Stegostoma tigrinum: one gene and its partners. The protein of the gene in region 3 purifies or fractionates together with the protein of the main gene of each other region. This does not show direct contact. Links are inferred from orthologs where the notes say so. Each region holds a gene or a part of one and is shown on either strand. Other genes may lie near its edges.

Region 1 (7,891 bases), on a different chromosome or scaffold from region 3:
GATGTGGAACAATTTGCAGATCAATCCACAGATGCCTTGAATTCAGAAGTGATTTATGAGAATGCTCTCTTGACTGGAGGATTTCAATATAGGGGAAAGAGTGGATAGGGTAGGGTCATTTTCTTTGAAACAGAACAGTCCATGAAGGGGGTTTATAAAATTATGAGGGTTCCAGGTAGAAAGGCTTTGAGTTAACGGGAGGAGGCAGGGTTCTAAACCCTGGGCACAGACTTAGGACAAAAGGTAGGTTTAAGAGAGGAGTTGATGGGAAATTGTTTCACTCGAAAGGTAGTGGGGATCTAGAGACAGAAACTGTCATAATATTTATGGAGTACTTGGATATGCGCCTGAAGTGCTGTAATCTAAAAGACTACAGACCAAGAGGAAAATGCTACATGGAGCTGGACAGTTCCTCATCGGCTGGCAAACAGAGCTTGCAAAATGGCCCAATAATTAGGTTGTGAGTTAATCTCAGCTCAACATATTTACTTCCAGCCCTTAACCATTATTGCTCACGATGGATTCAATTCCTTGACCAAGACTGGAAGGAGCTACTTCACCTGTCCCTGTAACTGCGTTAACAATTATCCTTAAAAGTATAGGGTCTAGGCCCGAAACGTCAGCTTTTGTGCTCCTGAGATGCTGCTTGGCCTGCTGTGTTCATCCAGCCTCACATTTTATTATCTTAACAATTATCCTGCTAGTCAGTTCAGAGTTTATGGGGAGGAGATCAAGAAAAGAAAAGCAAATCTCTAAGTAACAAATTGATCTGAAACAATCTATTTCCGTTAAGTCCAATCACAGGGCATTCATAAGGTGTAAGTCATAGCAGCAATGTGTTCACCAGTGTCTTTTTTAAAAGAAGTTTTTACACATTTGCCTGTCTGTCAGCTTTCCCTGCTTAGTATGGCACCTCTGTACTTAGAACACATTCCTTCTGAGCCTTCCACCCTCAGTGCAGAGACAGGTAGATTATTACGTAGAACTGTGACAACATACCAAGAAGCCATTCAGCCCTTCGACAATAATCTAATCAGTACCATTCTCAGACCCTCCCCTGTTCCATTCTCACTGGTCCTACACCATTCCTGTTCCACCCCATATCCGTCCCTGGTCCCATGTGCACTCCTCCATGGCTTTGTGCCCATCAGCCCCTTTCAGAGAATCCCGATAGTATGGAAGCAGGCCATTCAGCCCATCGAGCTCACACCGGCTCTCTGACAAGCATCCCATTCAGACCCACCCCCCAACCCTATCCCTGTAACCATGCATTTCCCATGGCTAATCCACCTAGCCTGCACATTCCGGAGCATTATGGGCAATTTAGCATGGCCAATCCACCTAATCTGCACATTTTTGGATTGTGGGAGGAAACCAAGTCAGACAGAAATTCCAAGATGGCGGCAGAGTATGACACTCCAGCCGGACCTCAACTGCACTTCTTTTTCTTTTCTTCACTTTTCCTCCCTCCTTTTGGTGTTTTTTCCCTCTTCTTCTCCTCCTCCTCCTCCTCTCTTGGCCTCCAACGACTCCTGGCCAGGCGGAGCGGCCTCCCAGTGTGGCAGTCTGAAGCGAACTCCCATGCTCACAATCCTGAAGGTGAAGTCTGAAGTCTGGAGCCTGGGCCTGGTGCGGACTGGGCACTAGGTGCCACTGTGGTCTGGGTTGGAAGACCATTGTTCTGAACTTTAATTTCTGCAACACTGGGCATTTTATTTCCATGCCTTCTAAGATCTTGTAACTATGTACCCCTGTGCCGAAGATGGCGCCGCAAGCAGCAATGGATAAAAACTTTTCACTACCCTCATTGTGTACTTAGGACAATAAAGTTAATTCATTCACATGCAGACCCTACACAGTCAGTCACCTGAAGGTAGATTCAAACCAGAGTCCCTGGCACTGGGAGACAGAAGTACTAACCGCTGTGCCACCCATTCTCTCATTCCACCCATTTCTTGCCCCACAATCCCATTTTCCTTCTACTCTGCTGACTTCCATACCTTTCACCATACCCTGGCTCTTGTCACCACATCCCATTTGCCCCTTCCTCCCAAATGGCCCTGTTTGCCCACTTTGCCTCCAACTCATCTTGCTGCCCCTCTGACCCTTATACTCCTACTTGACCCCATGCCCCAAACCCAGCCTTCCGGTCCCAGATAACAAAGCGTGGAGCTGGATGAACACAGCAGGCCAAGCAGCATCTCAGGAGCACAAAAGCTGACATTTCAGGCCCAGACCTTTCATCAGATAGGTCCCAGTTTTGTCCCCCAACCTGTTCTGCTCCATTTCCCCCACTCAGTTCCAACTCCCCTCAAGCACCAATCGGATATAAGTTAGGAAATCTGTGTGTGTCACCGCGATGACCCTCCTTCAGCAGGCAGCATGTTACAGACCGGTGCGGGGTAGTCCTTCCTCACGTTCAACACCCACCCCTTGCCCCCGCCCGTCCCAAACCCCAAAACACCTCGAATCCCACCTACCACAGAGACGAGGGTCATAACATGTCTGAGCAGGTCGATTTAAAAAGAGAGACAAAAACATGCACAACCATCCGTGGCAGGAGAAACTATGGGCCACGTGTGCCGGGTCCATGCGGTTTGAAAGCAACGCTGTAAGATGCTGCATGTATCTCCCCTGAGGTACATTCAGGGACACTTGGGGGCCGGAATGGAACGTTGCCCAGGTGCTCCCGGGGAACGTTCCATTCCGGCCCCGCGTGCTCCCGGGCAACGTTCCTCTCCCTCCGCGCATGCCCGGCCTTCTCCGGAGTGCCGTTATCGAAGCCCGTGAGCAAGGCCACAGAAGTGCGGCCACCACGTCGAAAGAGAACTAACGAACAGTCGATCTTAGCAGAGCAGAGGTGGCAACATACCACGTTTGACTGCTTCAGGAACTGCTTGGCAGCCTTGTCGAACTTATTCTGCAGCAGGAAACCGTAAATCTGCGGGTACAGGTCGCTGGGCACCACACGCGCGTCCATGTTGCGCACAATAACACGTCCTCCCCTCCCCCCGCCCCCCCGGTCTCAGTACCAATCGCCTACACCTCACTGATGCCCACTGCGGCTGCGCGGAGTCTGTGCAACACGTGACCCAGAGCCGGCCGGCGTTTTCTGCGCACGCGCGGATCCGTCCCAGGTGCTGACGGCGTTTTAAAGTCATTTAGACTCGAAACGTTAACTCTGCTTTCTGTGCAAGATGTTCTGAGTTTCTCCAGCAGTTTCTGATTTTTGCATTGTAGGGCGTTCTGAAGAAGGGTTAGTGGACTTGCAACGTCAACTGTGTTTTCTCTCTGCACAGATGTTGCTACTTTTCCTGAGCAGCAATTTCTTTCTGTCTTGCAGGAGTTCTGAAGGAGGGTCACTGGACTCAATTTGTTAGAACATAGAACACTGCAGCATTGTACAGGCCCTACGGCCCACGATGTAGTGCCAACCTACTATCCTACTAAGATCAAACTACCCTGCATACCTTACATTTTATTATCCTCCATGTGCCTATTCCAAGAGTCACTTTAAAGTCCCTAAAGTATCTGACTCCACTACCACTGTGGGCAGAGCATCCAACATACTTTCTGACCACAGATGCTGCCAGACCAGATGTGTTTCTGTTTTTGTTTCATATCTTCAGCATTCACATTTCTTGTGTTTTGTTTTATTCGCATTGTAAGGCTTTTATGTTCACGGTGTAATCTGCATTGCATCACACGTACGGATCATTTTGACTCCACCTGCGTGTGCTAGTGCAGACAGACTTCACTTGAACCACTTTCCACTCTGCTGAAGCTCTCATCATACATTTCCCCACACTTTACCTCTAGATTCAACAATACCAATGCAGTCCTGACCTGTCCACCAATAAAGGGGATGTTGATGGCTTAGAGATACAGGCTACTAGACTAGGTGGGATCGAGGTTCACAAGGAAGAGTTATTAGAAATCCTACAGAGGGTGAAGATAGATAAGTCCCTTGGGCCGGATGGGATTTATCCTCGGATCCTCTGGGAAGCCAGGGAGGAGATTGCCGAGCCGTTGGCATTGATCTTTAACTCGTCATTGTCTACAGGAATAGTGCCAGACGACTGGAGGATAGCAAATGTGATTCCCCTGTTCAAGAAGGGGAGTAGAGACGACCCTGGTAATTATAGACCAGTGAGCCTTACCTCAGTTGTTGGTAAAGTGTTGGAAAAGGTTATAAGGGATAGAATTTATAATCATCTAGAAAAGAATAAATTGATTAGGGATAGTCAGCACGGTTTTGTGAAGGGAAGGTCATGCCTCACAAACCTTATTGAGTTCTTTGAGAAGGTGACCAAACAGGTAGATGAGAGTAAACCGGTTGATGACCTATCCCCTCCCTACCTCCCCACCTATACTCTCTCCACCGATCTTCTTTACTCTCCATCTTCGGTCCGCCTCCCCCTCTCTCCCTATTTATTCCAGCTCCTTCTCCCCATCCCCCTCTCTGATGAAGGGTCTAGGCGCGAAACGTCAGCTTTTGTGCTCCTGAGATGCTGCTTGGCCTGCTGTGTTCATCCAGCCTCACATTTTATTACTAAGGTCGGTGGAGTTGTGGAGAGTGACGAAGGATGCTGTAGGTTGCAGAGAGACATAGATAAGCTGCAGAGCTGGGCTGAGAGGTGGCAAATGGAGTTTAATGCAGACAAGTGTGAGGTGATGCACTTTGGTAGGAGTAACTGGAAGACAAAGTACAGGGCTAATGGTAAGATTCTTAGCAGTGTAGATGAGCAGAGAGATCTCTGTGTCCATGTACACAGATCCTTGAAAGTTGCCACCCAGATTGACAGGGCTGTTAAGAAGGCATACAGTGTTTTAGCTTTTATTAATAGAGGGATCGAATTCCGGAACCAAGAGGTTATGGTGAAGCTGTACAAAACGCTGGTGCAGCCCCACTTGGAGTATTGTGTACAGTTCTGGTCACCGCATTATAAGAAGGATGTGGAAGCTTTGGAAAGGGTGCAGAGGAGATTTACTAGGATGTTGCCTGGTATGGAGGGAAGGTCTTACGAGGAAAGGCTGAGGGACTTGAGGCTGTTTTCATTAGGGAGAAGAAGGTTGAGAGGTGACTTAATTGAAACATATAAAATAATCAGAGGTTTAGATAGGTGGATAGGGAGAGCCTTTTTCCTAGGATGGTGACGGCGAGCATGAGGGGGCATAGCTTTAAATTGAGGGGTGAATGATATAGGACAGATGTCAGAGGTAGTTTCTTTACTCAGAGAGTAGTAAGGGAATGGAACGCTTTGCCTGCAATGGTAGTAGATTCGCCAACTTTAGGTACATTTAAGTCGTCATTGGACAAGCATATGGACGTACATGGAATAGTGTAGGTTAGATGGGCTTGAGATCGGTACGACAGGTCGGCACAACATAGAGGGCCGAAGGGCCTGTACTGTGCTGTAATTAGATTAGATTAGATTAGATTCCCTACAGCGTGGAAACAGGCCCTTCAGCCCAACAAGTACACACCACCATTTGAAGCATCCCATCCAGGCCCATCCCCCCATAACCCTGAACACTATGGGCAATTTAGCATGGCCAATCCACCTAGCCTGCACATCTTTGGACTGTGGGAGGAAACCGGAGCACCCGGAGGAAACCCACACAGACAGGGGGAGAATGTGCAAACTCCACACAGACAGTCGCCTGAGGCGGGAATCGAACCCGGGTCCTTGGCGCTGTGAGGCTGCAGTGCTAACCACTGCACCACCGTGCCACCCCTAATGTTCTATGTTCTATGATGTTGTCACTGGACTACCAATCCAGAAACCCAGGAAATGTTATCAGCAGCAGCAGCGCGAGCAGGAGCTTGGAGCAGGAGCCTGTCGGGAAGCTGATGAGTCACTGTTTTTGAATCGTTAAAAAGCTTACCTCGTGAATAGGTGGAGGGACGCTGAGCAGGAGCCAACATGGGACTGGTGAGTAAGTGAGGTAATATATTTGTGTGGTTGCGTTACCTGAAACACTACTCGGGTAGTGTCTTCCACCCATCCTCCTCCTCTAACCGAAAAAAAGGTTCTGTGTGCTTGATTGGTAAGGTAACAAGTTTATTTTTTATTCTTTTTTTAAGTCTTTGGGAATTTAGAATAATGGGAACGGAGGTCAAGGCAGTTGAATGTTCCTCCTGCAGAATGTGGGAGGTAAGGATCACCACTAGTGTCCCTGCTGACTACCTCTGCAGGAAGTGCACCCAACTCCAGCTCCTTGAAAACCGCGTTAAGGAACTGGAGCTGGAGCTGGATGAACTTCAGATCATTCGGGAGGCAGAGGGGGTTATTGAGAGGAGTTACAGGGAGGTAGTCACTCCTCAAGTACAGGAAAAAGGCAGATGGGTTACGGTCAGGGGACGGAATGGGAACCAGCAGGCAGTGCAGGGATTCCCTGTGGCCGTTCCCCTCAACAATAAGTATACTGTTTTGGATACTGTTGGGGGGGATGACTTACCGGGGAAAGCAGTGGGGCACAGGTCTCTGGCACAGAGTCTGTCCCTGCTGCTCAGAAGGGAAGGGGGAAGAGGAGCAGAGCATTAGTCATTGGGGACTCCATAGTTAGGGGGACAGATAGGAGGTTCTGTGGGGACGAGAGAGACTCACGGTTGTTGTGTTGCCTCCCAGGTGCCAGGGTCCGTGATGTCTCTGATCGTGTTTTTGGGATCCTTAAGGGGGAGGGGGAGCAGCCCCAAGTCGTGGTTCACATTGGCACCAACGACATAGGTAGGAAGAGAGACGGGGATTTAAGGCAGAAATTCAGGGAGCTAGGATGGAAGCTGAGAGCTAGGACGAACAGAGTTGTTGTCTCTGGTTTGTTGCCCGTGCCACGTGATAGTGAGGCGAGGAATAGGGAGAGAGAGGAGTTGAACACGTGGCTACAGGGATGGTGCAGGAGGGAGGGTTTTGGATTCTTGGATAATTGGGGCTCTTTCTGGGGTAGGTAGGACCTCTACAAGCAAGATGGTCTTCACCTGAACCAGAGGGGTACCGATATCCTGGGGGCGGAATTTGCTAAGGCTGTTCGGGTGGGTTTAAACTAATTCAGCAGGGAGATGGGCACCAAAATTGTAGTTCGACTATAGAAAAGGTTGAGAGTAGGGTGGTCCGAAATAAAGTTTCAGGGAAGCAAGATGGCACCGGCAAGCAAGAAGTTGGATTGAAGTGTGTCTACTTCAATGCCAGGAGCGTCCGGAATAAGGTGGGTGAACTTGCAGCATGGGTTAGTACCTGGGACTTCGATTTCGGAGACATGGATAGAGCAGGGACAGGAATGGTTGTTGCAGGTTCCGGGATTTAGATGTTTCAGTAAGAACAGAGAAGATGGTAAAAGGGGCGGAGGTGTGGCATTGTTGGTCAAGGACAGTATTACAGTTGCAGAAAGGATGTTTGGGGGCTCGTCAACTGAGGTAGTATGGGCTGAGGTTAGAAACAGGAAAGGAGAGGTCACCCTGTTGGGAGTTTTCTCTAGGCCTCCGAATAGTTCCAGAGATGTAGAGGAAAGGAGAGCAAAGATGATTCTCGATAGGAGTGAGAGAGACAGGGTAGTTGTCATGGGGGACTTCAACTTTCCAGACATTGACTGGGAACACTATAGTTCGAGTACTATAGATGGGTCAGTTTTTGTCCAGAGTGTGCAGGAGGGCTTCCTGACACAGTATGTAAATAGGCCAACAAGGGGCGAAACCACATTAGATTTGGTACTGGGTAATGAGCCCAGCCAGGTGTTAGATTTGGAAGTAGGTGAGCACTTTGGTGATAGCGATCACAATTCTGTTTTGTTTACTTTAGTGATGGAAAGGGATAGGTGTATACCACTGGGCAAGAGTTATAGCTGGGGGAAAGGCAATTATGATGAGATTAGGCAAGATTTAGGGAGCAGAGAA
Region 2 (7,896 bases), on a different chromosome or scaffold from region 3:
GGGTTGGTGATGTCATTTCCTGTTCTTTTTCTCAGAAGATGGTAGATGGGCTCCAAATCAACGTGTTTGTTGATGGAGCTCTGGTTGGAATGCCATGCTCCTAAGAATTCTCGTGCGTGTCTCTGTTTGGCTTGTCCTAGGATGGACGTGTTGTCCTTCCTCATCTGTATGTATGTAAGGATACTAGTGATAGTGGATCATGTCTTTTTGTGGCTAGTTGATGTTCGTGTATCCTGGTGGCTAGCTTTCTGCCTGTTTGTCCAATGTAGACCACAAGCAAAACAAACGTCATCTACAAAATACCTTGCAAGAGCTGTGACAAACACTACATTGGACAAACAGGCAGAAAGCTAGCCACCAGGATACACGTCTTTTTGTGGTTAGTTGATGTTCGTGTATCCTGGTGGCTAGCTTTCTGCCTGTTTGTCCAATGTAGACCCAATGCAGACAACAAGCAAAACAAACGTAATTTACAAAATACCTTGCAAGAGCTGTGACAAACACTACATTGGACAAACAGGCAGAAAGCTAGCCACCAGGATACACAAACATCAACTAGCCACAAAAAGATATGATCCACTATGACTAATATCCTTACATACAGATGAGGAAGGACACCACTTTGATTGGGGCAACACGTCCATCCTAGGACAAGCCAAACAGAGACACGCACGAGAATTCCTAGAAGCATGGCATTCCAACCGGATCTCCATCAACAAACACACTGATTTGGAGCCCATCTACCATCCCCTGAGAAAAAGAACAGGAAATGACATCACCAACCCAAGGAAACCTAAACAGATAAATAGAAAGCAGGACATAACACCAGCGCTTCACCGGAGGCTCACTGATGATGTTACCTAGAATGGTGACAAAACATCTGAAAATGAACCTTCCAGCTCAGCGAGCAAACTCACATCCAGGTAAATTGCCCTTCGTAGCAAGAGGATTCAAGTATTGGAGCAGGGATGTCTTGCTGTAATTGTACAGGGCCGCACTGAGACCACACAGCATTATGTGCAGTTCTGGTCTCCTTATCAGAGGAAGGAGCTTCTGATCTTGCACTGCAACATGGGTTTACTGGACCAGTCCCTGGGACAGAAAGACCAACATGACGACAGACCGGATCTGTTAGGACTATATTCACCAGCATTTAGAACAAGATTTCAGAAGCTTACAAGATTCTAACAGGATTAGACAGCATAAATGCAAGGAGGATGCTTCCCAATGCCTGGGGAGTCTAGAACCAAGAGTTCAAAGATAGAGGTAGGTCATGTAGAACTGAAATGAGGAGAAATCTCTTCACCCAGAGACTGCTGAGCTTGTGCAATTCTGTCCAAGAAAGCAGGTGAGGTCAAAACATTGAATGTTTTCTGAAGGAATTAAATACAATCCTTAGGGCTACACAGGGACCAGAAGATAAAAGGAGAAAGCAGACTGAATTAGATGATCAGCCATGATCATACTGAATGATGGAACCGGTTCAAAAGGGCTGAATAGACAACTCCTTCTTCTATTTTCTGCGTTTATGTTCAATTGCCACGGGGTGCAGTGGAGGCCGGGACGTTAAATGCCTTCAAGGCAGAGATCAATAAATTCTTATCTCACAAGGAATCAAGGGCTACCAGGAGAGTGCAGGGAAATGGAGTTGAAATGCCCATCAGCCATGATTAAATGGCACAGTGGACTCAATGGGTCAAATAGTCTTACTTCCACTCCTGTGTTTTATGGTCTTAAATCAAATAATTATCCTCTCTTTTGCATATCACATAATTATCAGAGTTTTTGAGGAAGAAAAATTACCAATATTGATCTTGTCCTCTAATAAATTCACATTATTAATACTTTCTTGGGCACAGCATGTCAACAGCACCAGTCACTCCTCCAGGCAGTTTGTGTATCTTTAGAAATACAATAACTTAAAAATAAGCATGAAAATGATTAGTTACTACAAATCTACCAGGTAAAAGTACATCCTTACTAGAACAAGTAGTTTGTATTTTTATTAAAATTAGAACACTACTAGCTAATGGAAAACATAGTCTAATGTTCCTCCTGAAGCTTTCCTTTATAAAACATTTTGATTACAACAAAAGCTGTGCACCCACAATACAGAGCATTTGACTTACTGAGTTAAAGTTTGACACTGGATAAAAAAAAATTACATTCACTGAAATTCAGTTACTTATCCCTAACAAAGCAGGCAAACTGGAATCTTTTTGACCTCCAGGTTGCCATCCAAAATCCAACAGTAAATTAATTTAAAGTAGATTCAGGCACAGGAGCTATTTAACAAGCTACTTTAATCCTTTTAAATGGAATCTAATAATTATGTATTGTGATCAGTTTTTTTTGAAAAGGTATAGCACAACACACACCTGGATTATCATTCATCCAACATCTTCAGAATTGCAATATCAGGCCCAAATATGACAATCACAGGCGAACTTCAATACAATTCACAAACTGTACTTTAGACACTATATTACATAACAGAATTAGGGAACGTTATTGTCAGTGCTTTAAATTAAAACTCGGAACAGAAAGCATGTGGAAACGCATTTAAGTCCTATTTGCGGATTCAGAGAAACGAATGTCAAAAAACAAAAATCACTGAAACAAATCCGTCAAGATAAAAACCGAATGAAACCTCCGATAACAAAATATCCCGGAAGATTTGTTCAGAGCCACCCTTGCCTGCTATTTAATCAGTTTAAATTGATGACAACCCCGTGGCTCCCACCCACTTTAGGCCCACGCCGGAATTTTAACACCTCAAATCAGTCAGTAGAACAGCAGTGTTTTCTTTGACAAAGCTCAACTTCCACTGCTTACATCCAATTTCTCAACAATGTTTTAAGCAGTACAAAGCAACTTTAACTTACTAGCTAGCTCTTCTGTATTTACTGCACAGAGCCGCACTCTTTCACTTCCACCTCCTGGTGCTTTCAGAAGCCGACAGCCAACCGGCCGCGCAAGCGTAAATTCAAGACACTTCCCTATCGCGCACGCGCACTTTCGCAACAGCATGCACACGCGTCACCACCCCCCCAAGTGTTGATGACGCCCTCATCCTAGCTGCGCACGCGTACTGCGCATGCTCGCTCTGGTCTTGTTAGGTCACGGGCTCCCGTGAGGATGCAATCCACTTTCTCCACTGCGCACGCTCGATACTTCGGAACGTCCACAGAACCGATGTCTGCTTCAACGATAACAAAGTGTAGAGCTTCCCCCCATATCTGAAGAAGGGTCTCGGTCCGAAACGTCAGCCTTCCTGCTCCTCTGATGCTGCTTGGCCTGCTGTGTCCATCCAGCTCTAAACCTCGTTATCTCAGATTCCAGCATCTGCAGTTCCTATTATCTCTGGAACATCTGCTTCACGCGGGTTCCGGCAGCGTTGCGGTTAATGCCATTTGTTGCGAATGTCTCAAAAACGCAAGGAATGAATGGACTGGGGACTGAACACCCCCAAATGTTGGAGATATTGCGCTGCGGGGCTCGCTGCTTTTAGGGGACGGGGGTGAGGAGTCTGACAGAAGAGATGCCAGCTGAATCTGTCAAATGTTGCGACCCGTCTGTAATTGCCACTTCTTATCATGGTTTTCTGATGATTTCCAGCATTTTTATGTGCTTCTTTCAGATTTCCAAATTTAACAATTTCCCTTCTATTATGGGGCTGGAAGCGGTGGAATGGAACTTGCAAGTCTGGAATAGACATTTTCCACTCTTGAAGATAAAACGAAGAATTGCAGATGCTGGATATCAGAAACAAAAACAGGAACTGCTGGTGGAACACACCAATTCTGGAAACATTTGTGGGGAGAAAGCAGAGTTAATGCTTCGAGTCCGGTGACTCTTCATCAGAACTGATAGCAGCTAAGAAAATGTGGTATTTATTGCTGACGATCAGATTTGGGGGACGCAGGGCAGAGTTGAGCGGACAGGTGGAGATGGAGCCCAGAGAGAGAGATATGAGAGGGGTGAACAGTTAGGAGACTATTATTAGTGAGCCAGGACAGAATAGAAGCTGAGTAAGTGGTAATGAGAGGTCAGACAGCATCCAAAGAGCATGGAAGTCAAAGTTTTGGGCCAAAAGCCTTTGTCAGGACCAAAACATTGACTTCCCTGCTCTTTGGATGCTATCTGACCTGCTGTACTTTTCCAGCTGCACGTTTATTGACTCTAGCTTCCAGCATCTGCAGTCCTTACTGTCTGTAAGTGGTAATGAGAGCTGAGAGTAGGAGAGTAGCAGTGTTGAAATCAAACTAATTAATGTGATAATAGGTATGGGAATGAGTTTCCAGTGCTAGAAGCAACCACAACAAGGTTCTGCATGGTAGACTGGTTGGCAAGATTAGATCACATGGAATCCATAGGGAGCTAGCCAACCTGGATACAAAACTGGCTCCTAGGTGGGAGACAGTGGATGAAGATTGTTTTTTGCACTGGAGGCCAGTGACCAGTGGTGTGCCACAAGGATCAGTGCTGGGTCCACTGCTTTTCGTTGCTTATATAAATGATTTGGATGTGAATTTAAGAGGTATGGTTAGTAAGATCTCAGATGACACCAAAATTGGCAGTGTAGCAGACAGCAAAGAAGGTTACCTCAGAGCGCAGTGGCTCTTTGATCAGATTGTTAATGGGCCAAGGAGTGGCAAATGAGTTTAATTAAATAAACGTGAGGTATTGTATTTTCATATGGCAAACCAAGGCAAGAACTTATACTGTCCTGGGAAGTATGGTGCATAGTTTCCTGAAAGTGGAGTTCCAAGTACACAGCGTGGTGAAGGCAGCTTTACTCCATTGAGTACAGGAGTTGAAATGTCATGTTGCAGCTGTACAGGACATTGGTTAGACCACTTTTAGAATACTGTGTTCAATTCTGATCTCCCTACTATGGGAAAGATGTTGTTAAATTTGAAAGGGTTCAGAAAAGATTTACAAGGATGTTGCTGAAATTGGAGAGTTTGGGCAAAGGAAGAGGTTGAATTGGCTGGGGCTATTTTCCCTGGAGCATCAGCGGCTGAATGCTGACCTTATAGAGGTCTATAAAATTGAAGAGCATAGATAGGCTGAATAGACAAAGTCTTTTTCCCAGTGTAGGGGAGTCTAAAACTATGGAGCATGGGCTTAAGGTGAAAGGGGAAAGATTTAAAAAGGGTCCTGAGGGGCAACATTTTCATGCAGAGGGTGGTCTGTGTGTGGAACAAAATGCCAGAGGAAGTGGGGGAAGATTGGTACAATTTCAACATTTAAAAGACATCTGGATGGTTACATGAGTAGGACGGGTTTAAAGTAATATGGACCAAATGCTGGCAATGGGACTGGATCAGTTTAGGATAGCTGGTCGGCATGGATGAATTGGACCAAAGGGTTTGTTTCCCTGCCGTATAACATTATTACTCTATGTCAAGACAGAACTGTGCATGGGGGTGGATTTTTAAAAAATGGAAATATTGAATTAGGCTTTAAAGTTCTGGAAATTGATGTTGAGTCTGAGATGTTACAGGGTCCACAAGCAGAAAATGAGATGTTGTTCTTCAAGCTTGTGCTGAGGCTCCCTGGAACTCTGCAGCAGACCTACTACAGAAATATTGGTGTTGAAACATGGTGGTGGCAAGCAACTGGAAGCTGAGTGTCATTTTTATAAATAGAGTCTACGTGTTCTGCAAAACAGTCATGTGGTCTGTATTTCATGTCCCCAGTGTAGAGCAGACGACATTGTGAACAGTGAATATGGTAGACTAGATTTGAATGAAATGCGGGTAAATTGCTGTTTTAGCTGGAAGGTGTGTCGGGGTATCCGAAAGCAAGGAGGGAGGAGGTATAGGAGCAGGTGTTAGAGCTTCAGTAATTGCATGGGAAGGTGCCATAGGGGTTTCGGAAATGGAGGGAGGAGTGGACCAGGGGTGGGGTGGTAAGTGAGGACCTTGGGACACTATCGTTATGAGGGAAGAGCATGGATGACGGCAGAAGTGTGAGGGATGGGTTAAATAGGGGTAAGGACCCCCATCAACCACAGTAGCAGGAAATCCTCAATTGAGGAAAAAGGTGGACATTTGAAATCCCCTGCGGAAGGTAGCATCATCAGAACAGATTCGATGTAGGCAGATAAATTGAAAAAAGGGGATGGAGTCCTTATGGAAAGCAGGGTGTGAGGGTGTATAGTCAAGATAACTGTGGGAAACCAAGCGGAGGCTTGGGGACCGCTTTGCAGAACACCTCCGCTCAGTTCGCAACAAACAACTGCACCTCCCAGTCGCAAACCATTTCCACTCCCCCTCCCATTCTCTAGATGACATGTCCATCATGGGCCTCCTGCAGTGCCACAACGATGCCACCTGAAGGTTGCAGGAACAGCAACTCATATTCCGCCTGGGAACCCTGCAGCCCAATGGTATCAATGTGGACTTCACCAGCTTCAAAATCTCCCCTTCCCCTACTGCATCCCTAAACCAGCCCAGTTCGTCCCCTCCCCCCACTGCACCACACAACCAGCCCAGCTCTTCCCCCCCACCCACTACATCCCAAAACCAGTCCAACCTGTCTCTGCCTCCCTAACCGGTTCTTCCTCTCGCCCATCCCTTCCTCCCACCCCAAGCCGCACCCCCAGCTACCTACTAACCTCATCCCACCTCCTTGACCTGTCCGTCTTCCCTGGACTGACCTATCCCCTCCTTACCTCCCCACCTACACTCTCTCCACCTATCTTTACTCTCCATCTTCGGTCCACCTCCCCCTCTCTCCCTATTTATTCCAGTTCATTCTCCCCATCCCCCTCTCTGATGTTCGGTCTAGGCCCGAAACGTCAGCTTTTGTGCTCCTGAGATGCTGCTTGGCCTGCTATGTTCATCCAGCCTCACATTTTATTATCTTGGATTCTCCAGCATCTGCAGTTCCCATTATCTCTGATAACTGTGGGAGTCAGTGGGTTTCTAATGCATATCGATGGCTGGACTATCCCCAGAAATGTGGTCCTCAGCAAAGGACATAGTTTTATCCCCTTGCGCCTCACCGCAATGAATTTTATGCAGAGTGATAATGGGAACTGCAGATGCAGATGCTGGAGAATCCAAGATAATAAAATGTGAGGCTGGGTGAACACAGCAGGCCCAGCAGCATCTCAGGAGCACAAAAGCTGACGTTTCGGGCCTAGACCCGAAGATGCTGCTGGGCCTGCTGTGTTCATCCAGCCTCACGTTTTATAATTTTATGCAGACACGACATTGAACTCTTCCACTGCCAATTATATAAAAGGTAAGGGATACAGGACATTGGACCATTGGAAAATGAGGTTGGAAAAGTAATAATGGGGAACAAAGAAATGGCAGAGAAACTAATGACAGATAGCATACCAGAACTTGAAGAGAATCAGGGCAGAGGTGAGTGTAGTGACCATCAATAAGGAGATAATGTTGGGGAAACTGGATCAATCACCTAGATTGGATGGACTACACCCCAAAGTTCTGAAGGACATAGCTGAGGAGATTGTGGAAGCACTGGTGGTGATCTTTCAAGAATCGTTTGAGTCAGGGAAGGTACCAGAAGACTGGAAAATGGCTAATGTAACAAGAGAGGGAGGCAGAAGACAGGAAGCTTTAGGCTGGTTAGCCTGACCTCGGTCATTGTTAAGATTTTAGAGTCCATTATTAAAGTTGACATTGCAGAGTACTTGAAAGTGCGTGGTAAAAATGGCTAAGTCAGTACAGGTCTGTCAAGCCTGAATGAGTTTTTTTTTAAAATTATTCATTCATGGGATGAGGGCATTGCTAGTTAGGCCAAATTTATTTCCTAATTGCCCATAAGATTCAACCACATTGCTATACCTCTGGAATTGCATGTAGACCAGAACAGGTAAGCACGGCAGTTTCCTCCCCTAAAGGGCATTAGTGGCCA
Region 3 (6,955 bases):
AACAGAATTGTAATTACCCTTCCGCCAATTATAAACCTTATCCTGCTGTATGTACCTATCCTTTTCCATGACTATTGTAAGCGTATTTTACTTATAGCCTTATCAGCACATATTTTAATAGAAAGGTAAATAGAAAGCAGGACATAACACCAGCACTTCGTCGGAGGTTCACTGATGATGTTACCTAGAATGGTAACATAACGTCTGAAAACGAACCTTCCAGCTCAGCGAGCAAACTCACATCCAGAACCTCAACCTGAGCTACAAATCTTCTCAAAACTCGCTAGCACGTATTTTTGAATAATTAATTTCAAGATTTTCCTTTGCCCAGAAGGGATTTGTAACTTTTCTCAGAGTTCTACAGTGTTTGTTTCTTTGCCAAACCTCAAACCAGTACTGCTCCTCCAGAACATCAGTGGAATCATTAATTGCCAGATGTGACAAGTCTTCAAGGTCTTTCAAGCCCACACTGATTTTTCTACATTTCCCACCAGGTCTTAATGAAAACCTTTAGTCAGGAGTACTGTTTCTCTCTTGTAAGTTAATGCTGAACCGGTGATTGTTCTCTATCATTACTTCCTTGCTGTTATACTTTGTACCTCTACTTACAAAGTATAACATCCCTATACATTATTAAGTGCTTTCTCGATCCATCTTGCTTCCTTCAGTGACTTAATGAATCACACTTCTCTTCTTTTTTATGTCTGCAATTGTCCGCACCAGCTGTCAATGTTCCCGTAGAGTTTATTAGGATCTCCTTCACAGTTCACATTTTGAAATTGTGCCCTGTACATCAATGCCTACATCATTAATACATAATGAAGAAGGCAGCAATATGAACACTCCTAGGGAGCTCATATATACATACATATACTATATACACATCCCTGCAGTCCAGAAACAATTCAAAACTATTGTATTTACTGTCATTAAGTTAATTTCATATCTGTACTGCCCTGCTCCTTTCATTCCATGGGTTCTAACTTTATTAACAAGCCTCTTATATGGCACTTTATCAAATGCCATTTGAAAATGCACATATACCATATCAAAGGCATTTCTCTCATCAGTTGTTTGTGTTAGCTCATCAAAACAGTCAAGCAATTTAGTTAAACACAATTTGCCCTTAAAAGTTTGCAGTGAATTTCCTTTATTCATCCATATTTATCATTGTAAACATTGTCCTCAATTGTCTTTGCTAAAAGTTGAATGAATGAATGATTTATTGTAACATATATCAAGGGAGATAGAGCGAGAAGTGTTCTGTCACCACAATTCGGTGCCATTTTAAGGTGGAAGAGAATAAAAAAAGTACTTAAATAGAGTTCATCTTCATCGGCTGGGTCCCAAACATGGCTCCTAGACTTCTGCAAGGTTCCTGCTCTGGGCCTATTGCAGCCAGGAGCCCCCACTCGAGGCAATGATACAGCCTCAGTCGATGATCCAACGCCACCAAAAGAGCCCACTCTCCAGACTCACTGCAGCCAGGATCCCTGCTCTGCCATCATTCCAGGAGTCCACACATCTGGCCAATGGAGCCCAGGAGTCTCCATTCTGTCTTCACTAAAGCTGCTATTCCAGGAAACCACATATCAAGCCTATGAGCCAGGAGTCATTGCTCCGGCCTCCCTGGGATGCTGGAATATAAAGAACAGGGTGTCATGGTGGCTCAGTGGTTAGCACTGCTGCCTCACGGCACCAGGGACCTGGGTTCGATTCCAACCTCGAGTGACTGTCTGTGTGGAATTTGCACGTTCTCCCTATGTCTGCGTGGGTTTCCTACAGGTGCTCCGGTTTCCTCCCAGTCTAAAGATATTCAGGTTAAGTGGATTGGCTATGCTAAACTGCACATTGTGTTCAGGGGTGTGTGGATTAGAGGGATAGGTCTGGGTGGGGTGCTCTTTGTGTTAGTGTGGACTTGTTGGGCCAAAAGGCCTGTTTCCACACTGTAGGGATTCTGGGATTCTATGAATGAAAAGAAGAGAGGGAAAAAAGAAATGCATGGCAGGCTTGTAGTGGACAGGCTGAATTTGAATACTTCCTACTGGGTCGGTGATACGTGAAGTTTCCCATGATTGAAGTTATAGAGACTTTGTTGACTTTATCCTGACAAATGTTTTGGAACATAGGTGTAAGATTTGCAGTTCTCTCGTCCTCTGGCAACATCCCTACATCTTAAGGATTCAAGAATATGGTCAGCACCTGCATAATTTACACTCTTACTTCCTTGGTTTTTGATATAAAGCTGTTTCATCTTGTTCTGAATAGCCTGTGGAAAATATTTGCCTCTATAGATAGGGTCGTCAGTGAGAGCCTTTTTTCCTTGGATGATGACAGCTAGCACGAGGGGACATAGCTTTAAATTGAGGGGTGATAGATATAGGACAGAAGTCAGAGGTAGGTTCTTTACTTAGAGTAGTAAGGGCATAGAATGCCCTGCCTGCAACAGTAGTAGACTCACCAACTTCAAGGGCATTGAAATGGTCATTGGATAAACATATGGATGATAATGGAATAGGTGTAGGTTAGTTGGGCTTCAGATTGGTTTCACAGGTCGGTGCAACATCGAGAGCTGAAGGGTCTGTACTGCGCTGTTATGTTCTATGTTCTATCCAACCTCTCACTTTCTTCCACAGTACAAAGCTCCTCCCACAACAACCTGTTTGGGACATGTATCACATTGTTGAAGTGTCAAAATCCTGGAACCTGCTACATAGGAAAACTATAGGACTGTGTTCACCACATACTGTAATGGCTCAAGAAGATAGCTCATCCACACTTTCTCAAGAGCAATTACGGATGGACAATGAAACCTTGCACTGTCAGTATTCCCCTGTGCTATGCATAAATAAATATAGTTGCTTGTTCATGCAGAACTTGAGAATTGCTGAAAAGAAAGAAAGCAGTTGAAGCCTTCTGCTTCGCACTCATCAGGATGAGCATAGGTCAACCCTTGGTGCCTGTTCTGCCTATGGCTAATAATCTACCTTAACACCTTATCTTCACATTATTCCTCTTGTCTGTGCTTTGGACACTTCAACAAACCTCAGGTACTTTACTTGTGAGATGAACAAAAGGATCAAAATCAACTTTCAATTCAACACAATTTTATTCACAAAATACGCTCAAAACACAAAAGGCACTACATGGGTGAATATTGTCTATAAAATTGCTCTTTCACAATTAAACTCCTAATTCTTAGATTAATTATTCTACTAATTGCCACATTAAGTCTTTGTCACCACCCTTACCTAAACTATTACTGGTAACAAGACTAGGACCAGGTACTGCCTATGCAGGTAAACTTGGCCAGGCTGTGTATTGGCTCTGATGAACTTGGTAACTTGGCAAATATGAATCTTGTGATATAACAAGGTATAGAACTGGATAAACAGCAGGCCAAGCAGCATCTTAGGAACAGAAAAGCTGACGCTTCAGGCCTAGACCCTTCATCAGAAAATATGAATCTTGAAAGTGGTTATCTTCTCACTCTGTCTCCAGGTAGTGACGCGGGGTGGGTGCTCTGCTACTGGGTCAGTTTGAGTTGATAGTATCACAGTGGGTTTCCACCTCTGTGTTCGAAAACATATTTCGAATTTACAACTGCTGTATGTATCAAGTTCTGAACAGTTCATTAAACACACCACAGAGCAGAGCGCCTGAACTTAATAAATTGCCCCAGACAGCTCGCATGGGCTTTATAGTCTCCACCAGCACGTGGAGTTACTCATGCGCCCAACTGGCTCCGCCCACCGCGGAAGTTGTGTGTGGACAGGGCAACGCCGCTCAGAACGAAGTGTGTGTGTTACGTGTTCGTTGATTTCGGGTGGTTCGATATTCTGTGTCTGCCTCTCCTTCCGCCGCTGGTACGCATGCGCGGTCCCATTTGTTGTCCTCGTGGTCAGTACGCAGCTGTTCGCCATGTTGTTGCTATTTGAGACCGCTGCTGGATATGCTATCTTTAAGGTATTTGACTGAGTTCTGTTTCTCCCGAATCGTCTGTTGTCTTTGTGCTTGGCCATTTTTCTTTCCTCACATTCCCCTTTTTCGCTCTCCTTGTGTTTCTTTCCCTTCGGGCCTTTCGTTTTCCTCCCTGGCCTTCCTTTCCTTTTTCTCTCCTCAGTGATGAACTTTTTTTTCCCCACCACTCAGCCAGACACCCCTTTCTGCCTAACCTTCTCCCCACATCCTACTTTTCTCGCTCGTGGTCTCTCTCTCTTTCTCTCTCTCCTCCCACCCCACTGGCCGCTTCTTCGCCGCCTGCTGCCGCCGCCTCCTTTCCCGCGTTCCTCGCCCGCCTTGGTCATGCTTGTTCATAGATTCTTCAGGGCACGTAGATACAAGATAGGTCAGAAGGCGTAGTGGATATTTTGACTTTCAGCCGAGGCTTTGAACACACGACTAAGTCAGGTTATACTGCAGCGGTGTTCAACGTTGATTTGTCCACAACTAGAATATTATGCGTCCTTTCGGAAGAATATGATTGCACTAGAGAGGATGTAGAAGAGCCTTACCAGGATGTTAACTGAACCAGAGAAGACTAGCGATGGAGAGGGGTTGGACACGCTGGGTCAAAAACGGAAACTAAGCAGGTCTGGCAGAGAGAGCTAATGTTTTGAGTACAGTGACCCTTTTTCAGAATTGATGGATTTGAAAGATTAACTTTTTTTTCTTCCAGACCTGAATTTTCCCAGCAGTTTCTGGTTTTGTTTCAGATCTTCAGCATTTGCAGTTTTTCGTTTGATACTGGGATTGGTTTTCTTCGGAGTAGAGGAGACTGTGTGTGTCTTTTTTGGTCTGGTTTGCCATTCACTTTTGTTTGCTTACTTATTTTTATTTGGGCTTAAAGCACTCATCTTAAACCCATACTTCTAAACTTTAAACCAAAAATTAATTTTTAATGTGGTCTGATTGCTTTACCAAAATGCTATTTTACCATGTACTGCCCTCCTCACATCATATTAACAGCTGTTTAAAGTTTTTTGATAAGATTTCCAGCTCGGGTTATGGATGAGGTTGTAGACATGTTCACCAAGCCAGTGGGTTTGGTCGCAGACGTTTCATCACCCTGCTAAGTAACAACATCAGTACACCATAGGAGAAGTGTTGATGCTTTGTCTTGTTATTTGTATGCATCGGTTTGGGGTGTTTAGTACCACTCCCAGTTCTGTGTTTCAGTAGTCTCTACACAGGTCTAATGGCTATTCCTTGTCTCTAATCCTGGGTATTAGTAGCAATTCACTTTCATAATAAACAAGGCTGTTAGAATTTAACCATGTCTTTGGACATGCAGAGCTGGCACTCATTTTCTGTTGGATTTGGTACTGGTTGTGTTTTTCTGACCCTTGGCTGCAGAAGCAGATTTGGGCAAGTTTGTTGTGATCTGATCTTCTTTGGGCTCCTCCCCCCACATCCATAGGTCCTGGATGAGAATAAGCTCCGTGAAGTGGACAACTTATGGCGGGAGTTTGAAACAGCTGAAAAAGCAAATAAATTGTAAGTTACTTTGATTTATGTTTATTCCTTCAAAGGCAACGTGTAATATTTATTTGAGTGCTGATATTTGGTGCAGCACTGAAGCAATGATGATGATGACACTGTCTTCCCGATTTAAGTACTGAGGGGTTTTTCAGTCACTCATCTGAGACTGCCAGTGCTGGATTGTGTAATAACCACCCTCTTAAAAGTGCATGATATTAGTCATGATTGAGCTAGCTATTCAGTATGAATAAACGTGTGGGAAAGGAGTTTGGCAGACAAGGCTGTCTAAGTTGTCTGCTCAAAATGTTTCCATGTTCGTAAGTGGAATGTTAAATGATGGTTTTATGATTTCATTCTATCTATGCCTGAACATCCTTTAGGTGCAGTGTGAGTAAAGATTACGGTAAAGCAGAGGGAGGTTCGAAGACAGACCTTCTGTTTCTTTTTCAAAACATGATGTGCTCAGGCGAGCATAGTAAATCTACTGCTTTGACTGAGACTGTGCACGTCAGAGTTCCTGGTAGAACAAATTGAAATAGCTGGAGATACTCGGGTCTGGCAGTATCTGTAGAGAGGAAACAGTTAACCATTTTGAGTCCTCTTGAAGAAGGGTCCCAGAACTTAAAACGTTGAGCTTGTTTTGTCTCCACATGCTGACACATGTGCTGAGTTCCTTCATGAATTGCTGTTTATTACTGCGTGTGCAGTTCTTCGTTTTATTTTAGATTTTTCTCGTGTTGCTGGTCATACGTTTTGCCATCTGAACTCAAGGGAAGTTAGTCAGAATATTTGCTGATTCACATTTCTTGTGTGTGTGAGAGAGGCAGACAGACACACAGTGTGCTCGGAATTGGCTGTAATGCCATATTTGAATACTGTTGGGAACAGGGATGTAATTCATTGCATTGGCCTATGCCCTGCAAAGAATGGCCATTTGGGGAAGGTACTAGAGAAATTAAATGGAGCATAATTTGGTATATTGACTGGAGGAGGGCAAGAGGAAATAAACAAGTAAGTGTTTTGTATTTTCATCTCTTTCCTGTCTGCAGTGTGAAGTTAAAACATTTTGAAAAATTTCAAGATACCACAGAAGCTCTCGCAGGTAAGGAAGTCTCAATCCACAGTTGTTAACACTGAAAACAGACAGTCAAGCCTGCTTGAATTAAATAGCCCACATTGGAAATTAATGCAATGTCAGTTAGCATTCAGGCCTGCAAAATACCAGTGTGCTCTTCCTCCTAACATTTGAAGAGAATCGGTCTAATAGTGAAAACTGAGCAGAATTAGAAAAGAACTGGCCACATATCAGGCCTTTGGTATATCTCAAGCAATCTCTCAGATAAGATGACAAGATTTCACTTTATTCATTAAGTCTCATTAGGACATTTTGGAATTTACTCTTGGGACATTAATGCTGGTTCAGCAGGTGATGTAATTGCCTGTTTTCTGGTTACTTTTGACAAGGCAGTGGTAA

The links. Proteins that work in one complex are often made in the same cells at the same time.
Region 1: the proteins of nop58 (region 3) and nucleolar and coiled-body phosphoprotein 1-like fractionate together in Homo sapiens (co-fractionation; 3 studies listed by BioGRID, with this or other methods). This does not show direct contact. The link is inferred for Stegostoma tigrinum from reciprocal best matches to the Homo sapiens genes NOP58 and NOLC1.
Region 2: the proteins of nop58 (region 3) and importin subunit alpha-5 purify together in Homo sapiens (affinity purification with mass spectrometry; 3 studies listed by BioGRID and IntAct, with this or other methods). This does not show direct contact. The link is inferred for Stegostoma tigrinum from reciprocal best matches to the Homo sapiens genes NOP58 and KPNA1.

What each region holds. Positions count from the first base shown.
Region 1 is NC_081390.1:19,023,931-19,031,821, forward strand, and holds the start of nucleolar and coiled-body phosphoprotein 1-like, read right to left. Parts: upstream 3,001-7,891; 5' UTR 2,981-3,000; coding exon 2,873-2,980; intron 1-2,872. UniProt on the Homo sapiens protein: Nucleolar protein that acts as a regulator of RNA polymerase I by connecting RNA polymerase I with enzymes responsible for ribosomal processing and modification.
Region 2 is NC_081365.1:36,732,547-36,740,442, forward strand, and holds the start of importin subunit alpha-5, read right to left. Parts: upstream 3,001-7,896; 5' UTR 2,886-3,000; intron 1-2,885. UniProt on the Homo sapiens protein: Functions in nuclear protein import as an adapter protein for nuclear receptor KPNB1. Binds specifically and directly to substrates containing either a simple or bipartite NLS motif.
Region 3 is NC_081360.1:7,344,809-7,351,763, forward strand, and holds the start of nop58 (nucleolar protein 58), read left to right. Parts: upstream 1-3,851; 5' UTR 3,852-3,921; coding exon 3,922-3,966; intron 3,967-5,419; coding exon 5,420-5,496; intron 5,497-6,530; coding exon 6,531-6,583; intron 6,584-6,955. UniProt on the Homo sapiens protein: Required for the biogenesis of box C/D snoRNAs such as U3, U8 and U14 snoRNAs. Part of the small subunit (SSU) processome, first precursor of the small eukaryotic ribosomal subunit.